Linked DNA regions of Lepisosteus oculatus. The protein of the gene in region 2 interacts with the protein of the main gene of each other region in a biochemical or structural test. Links are inferred from orthologs where the notes say so. Each region holds a gene or a part of one and is shown on either strand. Other genes may lie near its edges.

The links. The genes of interacting proteins can lie anywhere in the genome.
Region 1: the proteins of flt1 (region 2) and pgfb are reported together in a solved structure, tested with the Homo sapiens proteins (2 studies listed by BioGRID and IntAct, with this or other methods). The link is inferred for Lepisosteus oculatus from reciprocal best matches to the Homo sapiens genes FLT1 and PGF.

Annotation. Positions count from the first base shown.
Region 1 is NC_090703.1:9,818,993-9,822,746, forward strand, and holds the start of pgfb (placenta growth factor), read right to left. Parts: upstream 2,815-3,754; 5' UTR 2,153-2,814; coding exon 2,006-2,152; intron 1-2,005. UniProt on the Homo sapiens protein: Growth factor active in angiogenesis and endothelial cell growth, stimulating their proliferation and migration. It binds to the receptor FLT1/VEGFR-1. Isoform PlGF-2 binds NRP1/neuropilin-1 and NRP2/neuropilin-2 in a heparin-dependent manner.
Region 2 is NC_090700.1:5,799,962-5,803,715, forward strand, and holds the start of flt1 (vascular endothelial growth factor receptor 1), read right to left. Parts: upstream 2,804-3,754; 5' UTR 2,395-2,803; coding exon 2,337-2,394; intron 1-2,336. UniProt on the Homo sapiens protein: Tyrosine-protein kinase that acts as a cell-surface receptor for VEGFA, VEGFB and PGF, and plays an essential role in the development of embryonic vasculature, the regulation of angiogenesis, cell survival, cell migration, macrophage function, chemotaxis, and cancer cell invasion.

The sequences.
Region 1 (3,754 bases), on a different chromosome or scaffold from region 2:
GCAGGCTGTGGCAGTCTTTTACTCAAATTGGTGGAATGTCCGTCTATGAACTGGGAGACAATAAAACTGAATAGGCTCCGAGGCTGTGACTTGCATTATACATGAGATACTCACGCAGCTAGTGTGTAGCTGCTTGTTTGCCCAGCGAGAAATATAGCTGAATGGGTCTTTAGTCTAACAGACGGGGTATGCCTCGATGCCAGGGCTGGTGGCACTTCCTTGCAAGTGTCATTGCTGGGTGGCACCAGACGTGAATGAGGGGAGTCACTCCCCCTGCCTGGGAGACGCGCAGAAGGTAAGGTAAGGCTTCACACTGACAGCGTTGGAGCCCGGGCACAGAGGACTGCTTTGTCCTCCTCTCCCACAGTCAATACCCCTGAGGTTGGATATAGCTACAGAAGCAGCTCCCCACTCCCGACGAGATCACAATGACCCAGAAACCCGACCAGAGACACCAGCCTGTCCAGGAAGGTTACAGCTCTGTCGCGCCAGGGTGGGGATACCAGGAATTCCGACAGAAGGGTGCCTCGATGAGGACTCACTCACTCACTCACTCAGATGCGAATTTAACCCCCATTCCCCGCTCCTCTTCCACAGCCTTTGGAGCTGAATAACCCAGCAGAGCTCCTTTGCCTTTCAGCCTACACAATTAACACTGTTACTTTTGTGTGGCTCGCGGCGCATGGAAGGTGGGAGGGGTGTCGTGGGCCCGTTCCTCCTGATGCCACTTTCAATGGCTGGCGTCTCCCCCATTGATTGGGGCTCCTCCACAGCCACAAAAGCTGCCACTGAGGTAACATTACACAGTGCGTGGCTCTGTAGCACGTCCCAGGTTAGGAAAGTGCGCATGAAACATCGATTGGGTTACAATTCAAAGAGTTTGGTGTTTTTGTTTGGGTCCAGTTCCCAAATTACAAACAAACAAACACCACCTTTCATTTTTTTCCCCGTCAGAACTAAATCCACTCGGTGCAACTGCACAGAAAAGGTGACTTTCTCTCTTTTTTTTTTCTCCATGGTCTTGGTGAAGAATATTATTTTCAGACCGTCACAGGAAAACTTAAGAAACATCAGCCAGGCAGCCATATTGTGCAGGAATCCTAGCTAGGGTTTCCCTGAGACCTTTGACTCAGTATAAACACAGCCAGAGCCTACCGCAGTTACCTCATTCACTCCACAGACTGCACTGAAGACCAAAGTAAAACTGTAACTTACAGTAGCAGTCCTTATAAAACTTAAAAGCGGCAGCTGTCAATGTAAAATATTTAATACAAGGCTGTAGCTTCCTTTCTTAAAACAGGGAGTGGTGCGTACAGTATGCCTGCGTGGGTTGATGGGGTGGGTGGGGGAGCGGTTAGGGTCGAAGCGCAACAGCGAATCACGGGTGAGATACAGTATACAGTACGTCTAAAAAGAAAGAAATGCTGGCTACAATGGAAATGAGCGCTATGCCATAAGTCACGTTCGTCTTGATGACTCAACCTCCTGGCACAAGCTCAATATGAGACTGTAAGGAGCAGAACTCTTTACAAATAGCAACGGTCTACCTCAGAGATTCTGCGGAGTATGAGGTATGAACCAGGAGGGAACTTTAAATTATCTCTAAGTATATCACCGGTACGTTATTAAACGTACCGCCACCTTCACCAACGTCGATGCCACCACCGTTTACTGCACCAGCAAGAATATTTGGAGTCAATTACCTGTGGGGGATTTTCTTCATATACTGTAACTTCGGGATTTGGTGCGATTTTAAACAATAATTGCTTATTCCACGCAGTGCTAGACCCAGTAATTTTAAAGTTGCTTCTCCCTGCAGTCACGAGTTAACCCGGTCTGGAAGCGGTCTGTCACTAGCTCCAGCTATCATTTTCCACGCCAGAAAGAAATGCTTCTGGACAGACATTGAAAGAGAGAGTACGTACTATGGGAATAGTTAATACACAACCTGTATCAGCGGCCAAATCACGGCAAAATTAATAAGAATCTTAAAATACCAGCTTACCTGAGCAGGTGATAACTGAATGAGGAGAACAGTTATTATCTGGATGATGCGGGTAAAATTTTTCATTTCGAGTTTCTCATCCAATTTTCCAGCGCTGAATTCGATCGATCCGCATGAAATCCACCTCCAGAAACGCAAGACTGACATACAATAACGCAAGGAACAGGCGTACAAATGAATAGAAGAAATGAGAGGAAAAAAAAACTGGCACAGAAGCTACAGTAAGTCAGTTTTTACTGGATCCCTCCTCAGTGAAGCTGCGGTAAGGGAATGAGCGCATCGTCACGTCCCTCTGAACAGGCAGAGTTAACCTGGAGACGTTCAGACTGGAAGGAAAAGAGAACTTCCACAAGCGCTACACGTGTGCTTTAGCAACAGTGTCGTGTTGTAGACGTCCGTTTGCACAGGAGGACACGAAATTACAATTTTGGCAACTTCAAAAATAGCTGCAGTAACCTTACAGGAAAGTCAGAATAATAGGTCGTGCAGAAACCAGCACAGCTCGTCCTTGTGTGGCATTCCCCAAAGCCAATCAATTTTAGTAAACCAAAATATTAATCAAACATAATTAGCTACGCTAATGAAGTACTAAAATACTAAAAAAAAAAAATCCGGTCTATCATTGCTCATCCAAAGGATGCAAACACACAGTCCTTTCAATACAAAATGGAACCGTTGCGTTGGGCAGGATCCACACCTTAAGTACTCTTAATGCTCGAAGCGCAGGGTCTTCCTTGGCTTACTTGTCTTGACGATCAGTATTTCCTCAGTGCAGTTACATGCATGGCACTAATTGCTTCTCACTACCTCTCAACTTGTAGCCTGAATGAATCTCCTCCCCTCGACGTCTCCCTCCCTCTGTTCCTCTCTCACTCGCCCTCCCTCTCCCTGTCTCTTTGAGAGCAGTCGGGGCTTATGCATTACTGAACTGTCAGCGATAGTCTTCCAGAACTTCTCCCCACGTGAAACGCCATTATGCTATTAACAACACTTAAAAAACAAAAATAATAATAATAATGATACTGGTGACTTTGATAAGGAAATTAAATCTTATTTAATATGAACAACCAAAAATGCCACACTGTCAATTCAATGAATTGACCACGTTGTTTTCAGTGAATATATATGCTGTTAATACACCGTCAGGCTGATGAAATTTCGGCGTGCTTTCTGCACATGTCCTTACCTTTTTAATATGTCCTATTTTTTTAGGTTAGTGAAGGGGATTGCAAGGCGTGCGTCTACAACTCAGATTAGGAGAGCTGCAGAGCCTGAGGTCTTAATTCTGAAGTTAAATCTTCGCGCAATGTCACCTATTGAATAGATGTTCCCAGCTCTTCTGGTGATCGTTGAGAGACATAATTAAGACGGCTTGTGGGCTCACGTGAATACAGTCAAGTGGTATGATAGTATACCAATGCATACAAAAATTAAAAGTCAGCAGTTTTTAAGTGAATTAATTACAGACATCATTAGCTGAATTTAGCTCTAAACTCAAATTACTCTAAACTCTTTCTCTGCAGTGGATGAATGTCCTAATTCTTAATTTCCTCCTGTGCGCCTTGGCTCTTGTTTCAATCTGACTCCCGATCATGAGCTGCTGGAGATTTGAAATTTCCTATATTACCTCAAAGCCTGCGATTCTCCAGTACCAGGGCTGTAACTAAGACTTGATGTGGTGTCAGCAGTGCAGCGGAGATTTGTTTTCACTCTGGACTTGCTCCGGACAGTGATTTGTGGCCCTGAAGG
Region 2 (3,754 bases):
GATCAATCACACCGCTGAATACTGCGGGCCGCATAGATTTCAAGCCTCATTAGTCTTCCCTCCCGGCTGTTCGCCATTCTTCTCGAAACCGAACAGGTGGAAAGGCATTTTCACGAATCGCGGTGAGCGGCTTGAATTTTGGGAGGAGAGGGCAAAAGGGTGGGAAGCGGTTTGTTGTTTTTTTTTTATATATTTTTCCCTTCAGTTTAGGTTTATCTGTATTGCGTGGAACTTGGCGTCCTGCTGGCCGAATCCCTGAGGTATAAAGTGATCTTTTGGTCTGGGTTTCGAGCAGTAGGGTTATCACCGTGCCGCAATGTGAAGGGAAAAGACTCACTCCTGTGATGCTAGCCATAGGGCACAGATCCTAAAGAAGACCCAAGACCGCTTGTTGAACGGGAGAGTGGGTCTGTTTTAATTTTATTTATTTTTTCTGCTCTGAACTTTAAGCTGAATATCATTTGAATGACCAACACACTCTTCGGTTGCTCTCGCAATAAATGAAATCACACTTTCAGTGATCTGAAGATCGACAGACAGGGCAAAATGTCTCCACCGGATTGAAAGGCTATGAACGGACGTTGGAGCAACGCATCAGCGATGCTGTACAACCGGCGTACATTTTTACCACATGAATTTACAGTATCTCCGGAATTTACACAGAAAAAGCCAGTTGCTGGTGTTTCTCAGCATCTCCCACGCAGAAGAGGTCCAGCCAACCCTTAAAATCCCACAGAGCACACCCACTGTGAAGTGATAATCACATCAGAACGCGTCAGGAAAAAATACACTTTTTATGTAATTCGTTTACTTAACATCTTCACGACCTTTGAGTTTTGTTTTTCTGCTTCCGATACTTTTCAACCGTTGTGTTGAATGTTCTTCAACTGACGCGTGTTCGTTTTAAGCTCGTTGTTTGTTAACACCCAGCTTGTATCGAAAGCACATATTTGCGTTCATCTAGGTATAAAATACAAGACTTAAAATACTACTTATGGAAAATGTTTTATTGAGAACCTATCGAAAAGATGCGTCGGTGTTCAATTTGAACCCAATAACGGTTTGTGTTAAAATCTGTCAATTTTTCAATGCTTTCTACGTTTTCCTTATCAATAACCACGGAATTAACAAGACTATTTTAATACATTTTTTCCCATTTCATTTTCATTTTTTCCCATCGCTTATTAAGCTTTACAAATAAGCAGCAAGTTAAAATTATGTTTTCGGTCAACCATATAATAGCATTCAGCGGGTGTCAATAATTCATGTAATTTTCTTCGAATCTATTTAAACGAATTCAACGAACAACTTTAAGACGACTTGGCTATATACGCTGTATTTCAACAAGGAGAAGAAGCAGCAGGCAAAATGTTTCTGTTCCCAAACATCATTTGTCGGTAGCAAACAATGTACTGGTGAGTACAGAATCGAAGAACCTGCTCATGAGTCAACCACGTATTTACTAGCAAGTCAACACTGACAAAGACTAACTAACACAGCACGTATCATTCGGTGGTACTCCAGTTCACTCCTGCGTGCCTGTTTTAGTAATATATGTTGATTAGTCCGAGTTCCTGTAAATTGGAAAGTTTCCTTCTAGTGGTCATGACCTTTTGTAATTTGCATTAGCCCTTCCATTCAACTAATTTATCAGGCAAAGGAAACGCCGCCCTTCTCTGATTTAACCAGAGCCGAAAACAAGGATGGTTAAAAATCCCCGTTATTTGAGCTCTTCAACGCGGGGCGGCCGGATTAACTGGGATGGTTGCGCACCTGCAGACGTGATCTGTAAAGTCCGTATATCAGAATTATCTGCCGCACTGAAAAGGCAACTCCAGACCTTGATGTTCACTGGTATATCATTAAAAGAATCGCGGACAGCTTTAATTTTTCACCTTAGTATAATCTTCTTTAAAAAATCGTGAGTTAAATCGTAACTGATGTAATATGTATTATTAGATTCATTTTAGAATTACACTTTGTTAAAATATAACAATTATTATTTTTAAAAAAATCAGTGTAGTTCCTGTAGTATTTGTCTGTGTAGTACCCAGCCCAGGTCGGTGATGATGATGATACACTTCGCTTTCTTGTGTGTTTTAAAGGAAAACAGAAATTAAAAGCCGTTGAAAACGACAACCCAAACTCAATTCAATTTTTCTGCTCAAAACGAAATGTATTTGCTTAATGAAGAGCTGCTTAAAACGATTTTTTTAGTAGGTTGTTCAAACGAACTGAGCGCTGCCTGCATGGATCTTTATTAAACGACGAGAAATTGGTTTCTGTCTAACTTGCACTACTTACACACAGCAAGTTCGTAATAAATCAAAACTCACCCTTTGATAGTGCGCTTCCAGAGAGTCCGCAAAGTACTATCAACACAAGATACATCATCGCGTTTCTTGAATGCCTTTCCTTTCGGCAAAGAAGGTTCGGAGAGCACAATTCCCTTTTTTACAGCTGCCCCAGTGACGGTCCAGAGTTAACAACGCGATGGATTAGCACACTGACATCCCGGCGTTCAGAGAGCAAGAAACGGGAATAACAGCAGGATTCCTACAGTAGCTTGAGTCCTGAGTGTGATGGTGAGCATCCAGTCCGAGCGCGCCTCGCTTAAAGGGGCTTCAGTCATCCCTTTCCCACTCCCCTCGGGGTTGAGATTTATAACTTTTTCTCCGTCCCCACCACTTCACAACCACGCTTCCGTGACGTGAGATGAGCGGCAACACCCACCGGCCCGTTTCCCGCAGTCCCCCCTCTTCCAGGCGACGCGCTGACCTGCGGGTCTCTCTCGCCACGCCGAGGAGGGTGCCACTTCCAGGGCGGCTCCGGGCGCAGAGCGGGCCAGATAACTGGCACGACCCCCCCCCGCTTCTAGTCCCCACTCGCACTCACGCCCACGCACGCGCGAGAGAGCCCCAACGAGTTTAGCTTCTGGGGGCTCGAAAACCTGGACCCTCGTGTGAAGCGCCGCAGCTTGCAGTGTGCGTGTTTCGAGCCGTGCCTCGCCCGGGTGGCCTTGCGCGGGTGGCGATGAAGCCGAGCAGTTCTGGCCTCCAGCTGCGCCCGAAAACCCTGTGTCACCTCTAAACCGCTGCTTTTGCGGTCGTTTCTGTCTTAGACGCCTCTTAAGACAGTCTCTTAAGAGCCGGCTAAAAGAAATTTAGCAGGACCGGAGAAGTCTGCCCTTGTGTGTCTACGGAGTGAGGCGCTGGACGGGACATGAAGGGAGAGGAATTGAATTTCGATACTGCTGCAGCGTTTGGTTTGAGACAGGCATCCACAGAGCAGTCAGGCGGCACACAGGAATGTCCTCTGCCCACAGACCCAAGCACATCCACTGATCCTAATCTGCCACACCAGTGGACACATGTCTGTGGGCTGAAGACCTTGTGCACAGCACTGGTCATCTCTCACCACCAGATCCTCCGAGCCCCTGTGCATCTATTTTAAGAAACTGCATAGCATCAGTTATCGGGAATGTCTCTGTGGGATGCCTATGATTGTCAGTGGGACGTGATTCATTATGGGAACTGCTGTCCAAAATCAAATAAGGAGTGTATTTGTGGTTTACAAGAGTATTTGCATTCATTTACTTCAGGCTGGAGTAATTCCCAGAAAAAAAGTACCGTCATTTCTCTGACATATTTTGTTCTTTTAAAATTTAATATTAAAACAGGTTTATGGCAATTGGTTTCCAGTGTCTATTTTCAGTCATAAATCCCCAGCAAGTTAATGAAGCTTTCAGTTAAAA